Macaca fascicularis: one gene and its partners. The protein of the gene in region 1 purifies or fractionates together with the protein of each later gene. This does not show direct contact. Links are inferred from orthologs where the notes say so. Each region holds a gene or a part of one and is shown in the gene's direction. Other genes may lie near its edges.

What was found.
Region 2: the proteins of POC1A (region 1) and CORO1A purify together in Homo sapiens (affinity purification with mass spectrometry; 3 studies listed by BioGRID and IntAct, counting the BioPlex papers as one, with this or other methods). This does not show direct contact. The link is inferred for Macaca fascicularis from reciprocal best matches to the Homo sapiens genes POC1A and CORO1A.
Region 3: the proteins of POC1A (region 1) and NUDC purify together in Homo sapiens (co-immunoprecipitation; 3 studies listed by BioGRID and IntAct, with this or other methods). This does not show direct contact. The link is inferred for Macaca fascicularis from reciprocal best matches to the Homo sapiens genes POC1A and NUDC.

The regions. Positions count from the first base shown.
Region 1 is NC_088376.1:115,229,675-115,234,148, reverse strand, and holds the start of POC1A (POC1 centriolar protein homolog A), read left to right. Parts: upstream 1-1,614; 5' UTR 1,615-1,948; coding exon 1,949-1,966; intron 1,967-4,474.
Region 2 is NC_088394.1:27,912,646-27,917,025, reverse strand, and holds the start of CORO1A (coronin-1A), read left to right. Parts: upstream 1-1,556; 5' UTR 1,557-1,676; exon of another isoform or gene 1,677-1,722; intron 1,723-2,099; exon of another isoform or gene 2,100-2,738; intron 2,739-3,159; 5' UTR 3,160-3,160; coding exon 3,161-3,358; intron 3,359-4,380. UniProt on the Homo sapiens protein: May be a crucial component of the cytoskeleton of highly motile cells, functioning both in the invagination of large pieces of plasma membrane, as well as in forming protrusions of the plasma membrane involved in cell locomotion.
Region 3 is NC_088375.1:208,182,412-208,186,742, reverse strand, and holds the start of NUDC (nuclear migration protein nudC), read left to right. Parts: upstream 1-1,507; 5' UTR 1,508-1,631; coding exon 1,632-1,712; intron 1,713-3,976; coding exon 3,977-4,054; intron 4,055-4,331. UniProt on the Homo sapiens protein: Plays a role in neurogenesis and neuronal migration. Necessary for correct formation of mitotic spindles and chromosome separation during mitosis. Necessary for cytokinesis and cell proliferation.

The DNA.
Region 1 (4,474 bases):
AAAATAAACTTTAGATGTTAACCAAATTTGGGAAGATCAGGAATTTTGTGGAACGTGGAGCGGGGCTCCCAGGCCTTAGCAAATTGTCCTATAGATTTGAGCCATAAAGATAGCTCAAGCTGGTACCAAGCACCGGTAGGAGATCTGTCAAAGGTCAGGGGCACCTCCACTCAGAATCCTTTTGTGGTTGCCAAACCGTCAACCCAAAATATCTGAGACAGGTCTCAGTCAACTTAGAAAATTTATTTTGCCAAGGTTAAGGACGCACACATGACACAGCCTCAGGAGGTCCTGACAACATGTGCCCAAGTGGCCTGGGCACAGCATGGTTTTATACATTTTAGGGAGACAAAATAAATCAATCAATACATGTAAGATTTACATTGGTTTGATCTGGAAGGGCAAGACAACTCAAAGTGGGAAACTTCCATGTCATTGGTAGATTTAAACATATTCTGATTGGCAATTGGTTGAAAGAATTATTATCAGTAGAAAGGGATATCTTGGTTAAGATAAGAGGTTGTGGAGACCAAGGTTTTACCATGCAGATGAAGCCTCCAAGTAGCAGGTTTCGGAGAAAATAGATGGTAAATGTTTCTCATCAGACTTGTTTTGTGTTGATGTTAACGCTGGAGGGTATAATGAGGCATGTCCAACCCCCACTTCCCATTATGGCCTGAACCACTCTTTCAGGTTAAATTTTAGAGTGCCTTGGCCAAGCAGGGAGTCCATTCAGATGGTTACTGGTGGCCTTCAAATTTTATTTTATTTTATTTTTTATTTATTTATTTTTGAGACGGAGTCTCCCTCTGTTGCCCAAGCTGGAGGGCAGCGGCGAAGAGATCTTGGCTCACTGCAACCTCTGCCTCCGGAGTTCAAGTAGTTCTCCACCCTCAGCCTCACCAGTAGCTGGGTTTACAGGCGCGTGCCACCACGCCCGGCTAATTTTTGTATTTTTAGTAGACATGGGGTTTCACCATGTTGGCCAGGTTGGTCTCGTACTCCTGGCCTCAGGTGATCCACCCACCTCTGCCTCCCAAATTGGCAAAGTGCTGAGATTACAGGCGTGAGCCACTGCGCCCGGCCTCTCCTTCTTTTGAAGACTGGGTCTCTAACAGCTTCTTAGGCCTGAAGGATCCTGACAGGGCCGGGCTGCACCACACTCCTTCGTGTTACAAATGGGGAAACTGGGGCACACAGCAGAGGCGTTTTTCCTGAGATCACACAGCCAATCAGGGCGAGAACTGAGAATCGAACCTAGATTTCTCCAGTCCATGTTTGTGATTCCGAGTAACTCATGTTATTTTAAATCGACACTTGTCTTAAGAACGTTCGGACGGGCGAACCATTGAGAGTTCCCGAGGGGCGAATACTCAGTTCTCAATAGATTCCTGCGGGAAAACCTGGCTGCGCCGGCGCGCGCGGGTGCTTTAAGGCAATCTGGTCACAGCAACCCACGTGTCCTCCACTTCCGGGATCCTTAAGGCCGTCTTTTCGGGTGGTAAAACCCGGCCCGCCGTCACGTCATCTTGGGAAGTGTAGTTCCACCTTCCTCCAGATATAGGGGCGTGGGCGACTTTGAACTGCATTTCCCAGCAGGCTGCGCTCGCCGTTAGAGTAGCCGGACGACGGGCTGGTGGGGTGAACCCCTCATCCTGGGTCTTTTAATTTCTCAGGCGGAACGAGTGGCGGCAGACAGAGGCTTTTGGCGGCGCTGTCTGTGGGTTTTCTGAGCTTGGGGAACTGGGTACGGAGACCGTGGCGCCGGCCGCCGGTCACCCAGCTCTGCTTCCAGTCGTGGGGCAAAAAGCTGAGGCGCTTCTCCTTTAATTGCGGTGGGCGGGGCGTGCCGACGCGGCCCGCGTTGCTATTGGTGGCCGTTGGGGGCGCGGAAACTGAACGGGCCGCAACGGCCACCGCCGCTGCCTTCGGCGCCGCCAGCCCGGCCATGGCTGCGCCCTGCGCGGTAAGCCCAGCCGACTGCAGCTCCCCAGGCCTCAGTCTCCCCGCTGGGACACTGGGCGCCTAGTGGCCAGAGCGATGGCTGCGAGGGGCGGGTGGGGCGCCAGGTTCCAGGGTGGTCCTCTTCAGGACCAGTTTACCGTCTGTGCTGGGTCGGGCACTTTCTGAGCCCCTCCTGCGTGCCAGGCCCTGCGCTGGATTTCTGGAGCGAACAAACAGGCCTCTGCCTCCATCGTTTGCATCCTAGCGAGGGACACACGACCAAGTCCTGACTCATGTGTGACCTGGGACTGGTATCGGGCCTCTGTAGTCATTCTCCCTGTCCTTAGCAATTGGTGGCTGCGTAGGGTCTTGTTGAGGGTACACCCTGCTCCAGCAGAGGGGTACAGCAGGACGCTGAGATGCCCGGGCCTGCAGTGTGAGCCGGGTGGAGTCGCCCTCTCTGAGTCCACATTCCTGCAGAGGTCCTCATTTCGAGAGATTCCTTTGAACGGGCCTGGCCTTCTGGCTGATAGGAGAGGCAGGGAGGCTGGGTGCCTGTGATGCCCTGAGGCGGCCTGGCCCTCTGGCTGATTGGAGAGTCAGGGAGGGTAGGTGGTAGCCTGTGATGCCCTGAGGCACTTGAGGACGTGGACGGAGAGTCCAGGCTAGGATACCGACCTTTTGACCCTTTTGACTCCTAATCTGGTACTCTACCTCCCTTCCTGCCCCCTTCCCCCCCTCCCCACCCCGTGTGTAAACCACTGTTGAGGGAGATGAGGCCCACATGCAGGGAGCTACAGAGGGGAGGCGGTGTTGAGAGATATCACGGGACCTACTGGTCAGGGGTGGACCTGAACTTGCCTCTGCCTGCTGAGCCTAGAGGCGGACACTTTCTTACCCATGTTCTTTCAAGAAGCTCAGGTGAGAGCAGAAGGCTCTTTTGGGGACCCTCCCCCAGCTACTTCTCTCTCTGTTGTTGAAAGGAGACTCTGACAGGTGCGTTAGGGGTGGAGCTGGGCACAAGGCCATAGAGCCTTTGTTCTGGTTACTGCTGTGTAGGGTGGCTTTGCTATGCCCCAAGGACATCCTTTCCCAAGAGGAGCCTTTGTGCTTCCTGGAGCACCCAGAGTGCTTCTTTGAGGTTTGTGATACTTAGTGTAGGGGGAGTTGTTTGGGTGACTGAATTATAACCTTTCAAGTGTTGAGATCCTAGCTGCTATTGGAAGGACAGAGTCTCCGGAATATTCTCTCTGGTGTTTTCCTAAGCAATGTCCTGAATGGCCTTGCTGTTTCTCTGATGTTGGGTAGAGTAGAGTTGGTGGTGATGCCATGGGGACCTGTCCAGGGCTGACCTTTTGGGTTCACTGGCCAGTCTGTGGTGGCATTGAGGTGATAGGATCTGATTCCTGAGAAAAGGTTGGGGGATGCTGTAAGGTTCCTGTTTTCTCTCTCTAGGCTTTTAAAACATAACTTTATTAAGATATTCGTATACCATAGAATTCACCTTTTAAAGTGTACAGTTCAGTAGCTTTTAGTACATTCACAGTGTTGTGCAGCTGTAATCACTAATTCCAGAATATTTTCATCATCCCAAAAAGAAACTCCATACTCAATAACAGTCACGCCACTTCTTCCCTTTCCCCATTTTCTCCCAACCCTTGGCAATCACTAATATATTAATACTTTCTGTCTCTATATATTTGACTATTCTGAACTTTTCATATGAATGGAATCAGACAAAATGTGGCCTTTGGTGTTTGACTTCTTTGACTTAGCATGTTTTCAGGGTTCATCCATGTTGCAGCAAGCATCAGCACTTCAGTCCTTTTTATGGCTGAATAATATTCTGTTGTATGAATATGCTACATTTAGTTTATTCAGTCATGTGTTGATGGACATTTGGGTTTATTCACTTGTTGGCTATTAAGAAAAATGCTGCTCTAAACATTTGTGTACCAGTTTTTGTGTAAACCATGTTTTCAACTCTTTGGGGTATTTACCTAGAATTTCTGGGTCATTTGCTAACTATGTTTAACTACTTTATTTTTTATTTTATTATATTTATTTTATTTATTTATTTTTTGATTAGTAGTCTCACTCTGTTGCCCAGGCTGGAGTACAGTGGTGCGATCTCGGCTCACTGCAACCTCCTCCTCCCGGGTTCAAGCGATTCTCCTGCCTTAGCCTCCCAAATAATTGGGACGATAGGCACCCACCACCACAGCTGGCTAATTTTTGTGTTTTTGGTAGAGAGGGTTTTCACCATGTTGGCCAGGCTGATCTTCAACTCCTGACCTCAGGTGATCTGCCCGCCTGGGCCCCTAAAGTGCTGGGATTGCAGGCAGAGCCACTGTGCCCGGCTAACTACTTTTTTTTAGTCAGGGTCTTGCTCTGTTGCCTAGGCTGGAGTGCAGTGGTGTGATCACAGCTCACTGCAACCTTGAACTCCTGTGCTCAAGCAGTCCTCCCACCTCACCCTCCTGAGTAGCTGGGAATACAGGCACAAGCCACTACGTGTGCCTTATTCTTT
Region 2 (4,380 bases), on another chromosome or scaffold:
TGAGAAAACGAGGTTCAGAGAGATCAGCCCTCTTGCCCAAGATCACACAGCCAGTCAGTGGCAGAGGTGGGACTTGAACCCGTCCCTTGCTGTTCCTTGAACCTCTCCACATGACAGGGCTGTCCCTCAGCCTACAGGTCACCCCTCTAGCCTTGCCTGTTGGCTCTTCCTCATCCTTTTGGGCCCAGCCCAGATACTTTGTAAACAAGAATGACAAGAGCTAACTTTTTTTTTTTTTTTTTTTTTTTTTTTTTTTTTTTTTTTTTTTTTTAATGAGACAGAGTCTTGCTCTTTCACCCAGGGAAGACTGGGTGATGCAGTGGCTCAGTCTTGGCTCACTGCAGCCTCTGCCTCCTGGGTTCAAGCTATTCTCATGCCTTAGCTTCCTGAGTAGCTGGGATTACAGGTATGCATCACTACACCACGCTAATTTTTGTATTTTTAGTGGAGATGTGGTTTTACCATGTTGGCCAGGCTGGTCTCAAACTCCTGACCTCAGGTGATCCGCCAGCCTTGGCCTCCCAAAGTGCTAGGATTACAGGCGTGAGTCACCACGCATGGCCGAGAGCTAACGTTTATTAAGCCCTCGCCACTTTCTAGATGAGGTCCTTACTGACTTTCTTGGGTTATTTTAGGTAATCATACCCATACCTCTTACGTGGCAGGTATGACTGTTACAGAGGGAGAAACCGAGGCTGAGAAAGGCTAAGTAGCGGCCACATGTCACTCAGCAGGTGACAGGCTGCGGTCGCACTCATGACATAGTCTGACTCTAGAGCAGGCCTTTCCTGCCCGCTGTTGCTGTCTCCAGAAACCTCTCTGAATCTAAGGGTGGGAACTACTCCTCCTTGCCCTCGAGCCTTCGCCAAAGCCGGGCTTGGAGCGGCCGTGGGCTCCTCCTCCTTCCCCCAGGCTGGGCTCTTCACGGGCGGGAGCCTGCCTGGCTCGCCTGCCTCGCTCGACCCTGTAGCCCCTGGCACGAAGTAGGTGCCCGTGATGCCGAATTATTTCAGCAGGAGGGCAGGGGTGTTCCCGATGAAGACAGGAGACCAGGGAGGAGAAGCGACTCCCGGGGCCACCCATGTGTAGATCTCGGAGCCAGGCAAGAGCCAGGTCCCTTGGGTCCGGGAGCGCGCTCGGGGCTCCTCCTCTCCCGTGCCCCCCGCGACCCCCGCGCTCCCCGCGCTCGCGTCTGCGGGGTCGGGAGGAGGGGGCGGCGTCGCCGGGCCGGGGCGGACACCGAGGCCTGGCGGGCGGGCCTGGAGCGCTTTCGTGCCTGCCAGGGAAAGGCTGGAGAGGAGGCTAGGGGCGGACGCAGGGAGAAAAGAAGCAACGGGGTGTTTTTGCCTTTTGACATTTTAAAAAGAAGTGCAGATTCGCTTCCCGGAGCCGGGCTGGCAGCCTGCGCTATGGTTAGGAACCAACGTGGGGCGCGGGCTGAGGCAGGGGAGGGAGGCGGCCGCAGCAGGGGCCCGGGAGCGCAGGGCGGGCCTGGAAGAGCTCCGCCCCAAGGGGCGCGGCCACCCTGGAGGCGGGCGCACGGCTGCTTCTCATTCATTGTCTTGACAAGAGCATCCTCAGCGGGCGAGTCCCCGGCTCCTCCAGCTCCTTCCTCCTCTTCCTCCTCCTCCTCCACCTCCGGCTTTTGGGGGGTCACTGTCCTCTCTCTGCAGCAGGTGAGGCTGGGCCCAGGAGGCGCGGGTGGACCGGGGCGAGGGCCACCTGTGGGGCGGCGCGCGTGTGGGAGCCGCGGGTTGCGGGGGCGCGCGGCTGTCACCGCGACCCAGCCAGCGCCGGGGCCAGGGAGCGGGCGCAGCAGCCCGTGGGGGGACGCTGCCTGGAGTGGGGGCCGCCGGGGCCCCAGAGCGCTCTGCGGAGGCGAGGGCGAGGGACCACCGCGGCCAAGATGGAGGTGGGCGGCCGGGGGTTAGCACAGTGTCGAGGGCCCGACTCCCCCCGGAATTAAGTCTCGGGGAGGGTGGGGACGGGGACAGGGTGGGGTGAGTGGGGCAGCTGCCCTGGGCTTGGAGACAGGAAGGGGTTGAGAGCAAAACAAGAAAAGACCAAGTTCCCCTTTCCGTGGTTTCCGGGCCTGGTACCTGCGGCGGGGGAGGAGGCAGGGTGGGGCGATGGCTTCCTGTCCCCCACCTCTGGTCCGGGGCTCCTCTCTCTCCAGACCCTGGCTGCTCCTCAAGACGGGGGCTCTTCACGTACGCTCCTCACCGATCTTTGGGCAGGCCGACCTAGCAGCCTCTTTGGGAGTCCTGGGGTGGCCAGGGGTGTTGGCGCCCCCAGTGAGTAGGCGAGGCTGAGGCTAGGGGCAGAGGCTCTGGGCACGGTACCCTCTCAGCGGTAGCACAGGCCCCTTCCCTGAGCAGGAGGGTGATGCGGTGGCACAAGGTCGTCCCTGGAGTTCCTTGCTCCCCACCAGACACTGGGGGAAACCATCCTAGCTGGACATCAGAGCAGTTGGAGTGGCTTCTCCCTTCCTGTGTGCATTTCACATGGGGGTGGAGATGGCTCTTAAGGGCACCTGCTTTTCTGAGCGAAGGCAAGAGGCAGAGGTATGGGGAGGAGAAGATACTGGGACCTGAGCCAGAGACCTGCTGGGGAAGCCATCCTGCCACCTCACTCCCCTCGGGCAGCCCCCACGCCACTTCCTCCTGTGTCCAGCCCCGCACCGGCAGGGGAAGGAGGCCAGCCCCTGTCCCTGCCTTTAGGAAGCGCTGTGTGGGTGTGAGGGAGGTGGGCTCTGGACACTGTAACTAAGAGAGAACCCACCCTCAGAGCCATCTGGGCTGATGACGCCTGAGTCTGAACCATTAGGAAGGACGGGCTCTGCATCCATCAGCCAGTCAGTCAACAAACATGCAGTGGGGGCAACACCACGCCAGGCTCTGTTGCAGAGGCTGAGGGTACAGATTGAGAGTGTGACTCAGAGTGGCCTGGGGCCAGGGAGAAGGGGGCTTGCAGGTTAGATGGAAGGAGAGGCCAGGGAAGGCGAGCGGGCATAAGCCACAGAGGAAAGGATAGGGAGCCCCTGGAGATGATGCTGGGACCTCAAAAGCCAGACTGAGGGGTGTCCTGGGGGAGGTGGGGACCACTGGAAGATCAGAGTTGACCCGAAGGGAGAAATGCTCTTATCCTGTGTGCCCCTAGAATGAGCCGGCAGGTGGTCCGCTCCAGCAAGTTCCGCCACGTGTTTGGACAGCCGGCCAAGGCCGACCAGTGCTATGAAGATGTGCGCGTCTCACAGACCACCTGGGACAGTGGCTTCTGTGCTGTCAACCCTAAGTTTGTGGCCCTGATCTGTGAGGCCAGTGGGGGAGGGGCCTTCCTGGTGCTGCCCCTGGGCAAGGTGAGCCCCTGGGGCCCTGGGGGTAGCAGCTCCTCCACCCGACCCATGGCTCTGTGGAGGTCCTGATTAGGTGACTGTCATCAGGCCTTCCAGGGCCTGTGTTGCCATCTGGAAAACTGAGCTGGGCCCCATGAGCCTTACACTTCCTCTAGCTCCTCTGTGCTGTGGCTGTGTGGAAACTGATGCTCAGAAGGAGCCAACACAAGATGGGTCACACCAGTGACCAGGACTACAGACAGTCCTGCAGGCCCATGACCAGCCCTTCTGAGCCTCAGCCTGGGGCTGGAAACACAGAGAGGGCTGTGATGGGGTCTGGGGGCCCCCGACTGCAGACAGTCCTGCAGACCCATGACCAGCCCTCCCCAGCCTCAGCCTGGGGCTTTCTCCCCATGGAAACACAGAGAGGGTTGGGATGGGGTCTGGGGGCCCTGGCAGCATTCTCAGGGTTGGGGGGGACTCTGGCTCTGGGCCTGTCTTAGGACCTAGCAACTCTGGCCCCCAGCTCGCAGGCAGGGATGATGCAAGAGGCACTCTCCCCGACCCCAGCCCTGCCCTCCCCTGGAGCCTGCTGCCCTCTCCGCTGGCCATCTGCTGCCCCACACCCCCAGCACACTCCTGTGCTCTTTGAGGGGTAAGACAGGAAGGGGAGATGGGCCCCAAGTTGTTACCTTAAAAGGGCCGATGGAAGCAAAGAGAAGAGGAAGTGGTTGTGGGGCTGAGAGATGGGCCCGCACCCCGCACGGCTGTCACACAGGAAGCCCTGCTGAAGCAGCTGTCCCCGGAAGAAGCCATTTCCAAACCTCTGCTTCTGCCTGGGGCCAGTTATGACAGGCTCCCCGACCCCTCTCCTTTTGGGAGGACCCACGTCTGCAGCCCCACCCCTCACACTCACTCTCTGGGGAGCCGCCCCTACCCCCCCAGCCCTCATACACCTGTCCTGACTCCAGGGCCAGTTGTGCCCATGGAAGCCTCACTCGGGAAAGCTGGGGTGGGGGTGCCAACCCTAAGGGCAGAGACAGACT
Region 3 (4,331 bases), on another chromosome or scaffold:
CAGTGGCTCATGCCTGTAATCCTAGTGTGTTGCGAGGCCAAGGCAGGTGGATCACTTGAGGTCAGGAGCTTGAAACCAGCCTGGCCAAAATGATGAAAGCCCCTCTACTAAAAATACAAAAAAAAAAAAAAAAAAAAAAAAGAAAATTAATTGGGCATGGTGGTGCCTGTAAGCCCAGCTACTTGGGAGGCTGAGAATCACTTGAACCTGGGAGGCAGAGGTTGCAGTGAGCTGAGATCGTGTCATCACACTCCAGCCTAGGCGACAGAGCTAGACTTTGTCTAAAATAATAATAACAATAATAATGGATAGACTAGAATAAACTGTAGAGAGATGGAAGGTGAGGGAGTAGAGAAACAAGCAAACAAGCTTGCTGCAAATGAGAGCTGAAAATTGGGGAGGTAGCAGCAGAAGAAAGTGGGGTCATGGAATAATAATATAAAAACAGCGCTGGGCATGGTGACTCAAACCTGTAATCCCAGCACTTTGAGAGGCTGAGGCAGGAGGAGTGCTTGAAACCGGGAGTTTGAGACTTAGCCTGGGCAACACAGACTCCATCTCTACCCAAAAAAAAAAAAAAAAAAAAAGCAGGGCTTGGTGTGAGCCTGTAGTCCCAGCTACTCTGGAGGCTGAAGTGGGGAGGATGGCTTGAGTCCAGGAGTTCAAGGCTGCCGTGAGCCATGATGGCGCCACTGAACTCCAGCTTGGGTGACAATGCAAGACCCGCACCTTTAAAAACAAACAAAAAGACATTAAGGCATGTTTGTAAATTGAAGGGAAGAATAAAGGTATTTGTGATGCAGAAGCTAAAAAAGGGATAATTAACAGGCATAGAGTTCCTGAAAAGACTAAGATGATGAGATTCATTGCAAAAGTGGAGGGATTAGCTTGGATGGCTGGGTCCTGTCCCTGCATTAACAGAAGTGAAGGTCAATTTCAGCACCTGTCATAATTTCCTGGGCCCTGTGCAAAGTGAAAATGTGGGGCTCCTTATTCCAAAATTATTAAGAATTTCAAGACTACAACAGAAAAGCATTAAATCAAGCGTGGAGCCTTTCTAAGCCTGGGTGCTGCAATTTCTACTCCCATGAAGCTGGCCCTGGTCAAGTATGAAATGAGGTCGATGAGAAGGAGGCTGTCCTGTGGTAAGTCCCTTCTAGGATTGGAAGAGATGAGTAAGGCTACTTTCAGCTTCACTGTTCTACAAGCTGGGGGGTCACTAGCAAGGGAGAGGAGCAAAACTTGTCCCTTTTTAACTTCCAACTCTGCCAGATTTGAGTCCAGGGCTTTCTAGAAGTCTCCACGGCATCGGGTGACCATAGCAACTCATGCCAAACTCTCAAGCCCACGGCTCCGCCCACCGCTTCGTGGACGCGCTTGTTGATTGGCTCAGAATGTCGACCAATGGTCGGCGAAGCGGGTTGCTTGCCGCACGGTCAATGGCCGCGAGCCGGGAAGAAGGCGGGAAGAAAGGAGGAGGAGGCAGGCCTGCAGGGGCCGCGCGGGTGCGTGTTTCCGGCTCCGCTGCGGAAGGCGGACGACTAGAGTCGTTGGGCCCGGCGCGATCCGAAGGAGCCTAGAGAGCGCGGGACTAGAGTGCAGAGCTCGGGACGTGGATCGGAGCCGGCGCGATGGGCGGAGAGCAGGAGGAGGAGCGGTTCGACGGCATGTTGCTGGCCATGGCTCAGCAGCACGAGGGCGGCGTGCAGGAGGTAACGGTCCGCGCGGCGTCGGCCCATCCGGCGGCCCTGGCCAAGCTCCTTCCGCCCTTCTCTGCCTTCCAGGGCTGAGACCCACCCCTGGGGCTCGCGGGCTTCTGGGATGCCCCCACATTCTCACCGCGCCCAGCTTCCGGCCTGGCCACCCGCTGGCGGTCTCACCCGGTTCGCATCAGTTCTGGGCCCCCGGCGCCCCTCAGTAGTAGCAATTATCGCGTCCCTGAGCTTAGGATTCCCCTTTAGTTTCACATATACCCCCAACCCCGTTTCCACTTTCATGGCGTCTTCCGAGGAGCATCCCTTAGTAAGAACCGTGCCAAATACAGTGATTTGGATCCACCAAGGCTTGGGGCGAGCCGTCGAATGTGTGTGGTAGGGGCGCGGGGTGATGTTAGCACGTGGTCTTGTTAGGCCTTGAATGGGGGAATAGGAGAGGAGGCCTGTATTCACGATTAGTTTCCACCACCTACCAACTTGGAACCTTTACATCTCTCCAAGCCTGAGTTTCCTTGTCTGTGAGACAGCTGCGAATGCCGGTTTCCCGAGAGTAGTGAAGTACCGTAAGTTCTCAGTAATAAGGCTTTTTCATTCAACAAGTATTTGTCGTGTGATTAATGTGTGTCCCACACTCAACGCGACTGGGGATACAAAAACTTGTCCTCGCCCTGATAGAGCTTACAAAGAGCATTTCAAAGAGATAATTCGTGCACAGTGACAGACACGGTAACACAGTGTATGAATAATAAGGGCCAACTGTTCCAGATTCTGGAGTTGGTTTTTTTGGAACAAACACAAAGTTAGAGGTAGAAAAGTCCGTCAGGATCAGAACTGTCATTCTCAGAGCCAGAAAAGTGGCAGGGATTTGCCTAGATCATACAGCGTGGTCCTCACCTGGACAGGTCAGTGTGCTTCCCAGAGTCCATGGCTGATTGTGTCTCACTGGAGGTAGGTTTCCATTGAACTTTCTATTGCTATGTAACCCAGGTGTCTGGTGACCAAGGATTTCTAAGCCCTTTGTGGTGGGGAGAGTGCTTCTAATTTGGAAGTGTGAAAAGCCTTCCTGTCTCCATTCCTCTAAACTGTTTACACAAAACTGGATTTGGGAGTGAGTTCATTTTTGAACAAACTGAAAAAGTGTCTAGAAGCAAGAATGGAAATCACTGATATATGTTCTAGCGTCAGATTTCATCAGATTTAGACCCACTCTTGGGCAAATAAAGGGCTTGTGTGTGCTGACTTTAGGTCACCGCTAGATTGTTTCATTCAGCAAGAATTTTACTGAGCATGTACCTTTAGCTGTATCTGGTGCCCAGCATTGCAGGTGGCAGATAGACTAAGCCATGGGTCATGGTCCTATTTGTAAGGTGTTTACCCTCTGCCAGTGGGTCTCTTGCTCTGTGCCATACGTGGCTGAAGGCCTCAACTCCATGACCTCATGATCCTCACCAGGTCCCTAGAAATAGGTACTGCATCTTATTCCTGTTGTACAGAGTTAAGAAACTTCTGCAAAGTCAAAAGGTAATATATGTCCGTCAGATACTCAAACCCTTGGCTACACTTGTACTCCAGCCAGAGTTAATCCATCTTATCCTCCTTTGAAGTGCTTCATTTGCTCTCCTCCGTCTTGCTTTGACCCAGTAACTTAGTGTCTTTTTTTTTTTTTTTTTTTTTTTTTAGACAGAGTCTCACTCTGTCACCCAGGCTGGAGTGCAGTGGCATGATCTTGGCTCACTGCAACCTCTGCTTCCCGGGTTCAAGTGATTCTCCTGCCTCAGCCTCCCAAGTAGCTGGGATTACAGTTGCCCACCACCGCACCCGGCTGATTTTTGTGTTTTTAGTAGAGGTGGGGTTTCACCTGTTGGCCAACCTGGTCTTAAACTCCTGACCTCAAGTGATCCGCCCTCCTGAGCCTCCTGAAGTGCTGGGATTACAGGTGTGAGCCGGTGTCTTGATGGGGTTTTTAAAGCTGGGCCTGGGCTTTTCATGCCCTGGATGCAGAGGAGTATTGCATACACTTAGGCTGCTTCAGGCATCACAAGGAAAATGAAACGCGCACACTCACACAGGATATGAGAAATCTGCTTCATGGTGGAAGTAACTAAGAGAACCTGCTGGGGAGATGTCTCCTCAGTTGGGAGGCTCAGAGGAAAAATAGTCAAGTCCCAAGTTGCCTCCTAGACAAAAGAAGTTGACTTGTGTGCACTTGAAGGGCTCCCAAATGGCAGCTCCACACCTTTAATCTTCTCCCCATCTTTCAGCTTGTGAACACCTTCTTCAGCTTCCTTCGACGCAAAACAGACTTTTTCATTGGAGGAGAAGAGGGGATGGCAGAGAAGGTAAGTGTTGGAAACTGCTCTCTTTTCGGCAGCTCTGTCTCTTCAGAAGAAAAACTCACCTGGTCTTCCTTTGGCATAATAGTAACTAACTTTCAGCAGAAGCGAAATGTCAAAGGTGAGGAGTTGGGGAAGGGAAGGAAGCTGTCATTTCTTCGGTCTCCACTCCTTGCTCAGCGCTCTATCTACCTTATTTCCCATGATTTTTGCAGTTCTACAAGAGGGGCAGGTGTTAACTATCCCCGTTGAGGAAACTGGCTCAAGAGAGTTTTGCACCTTA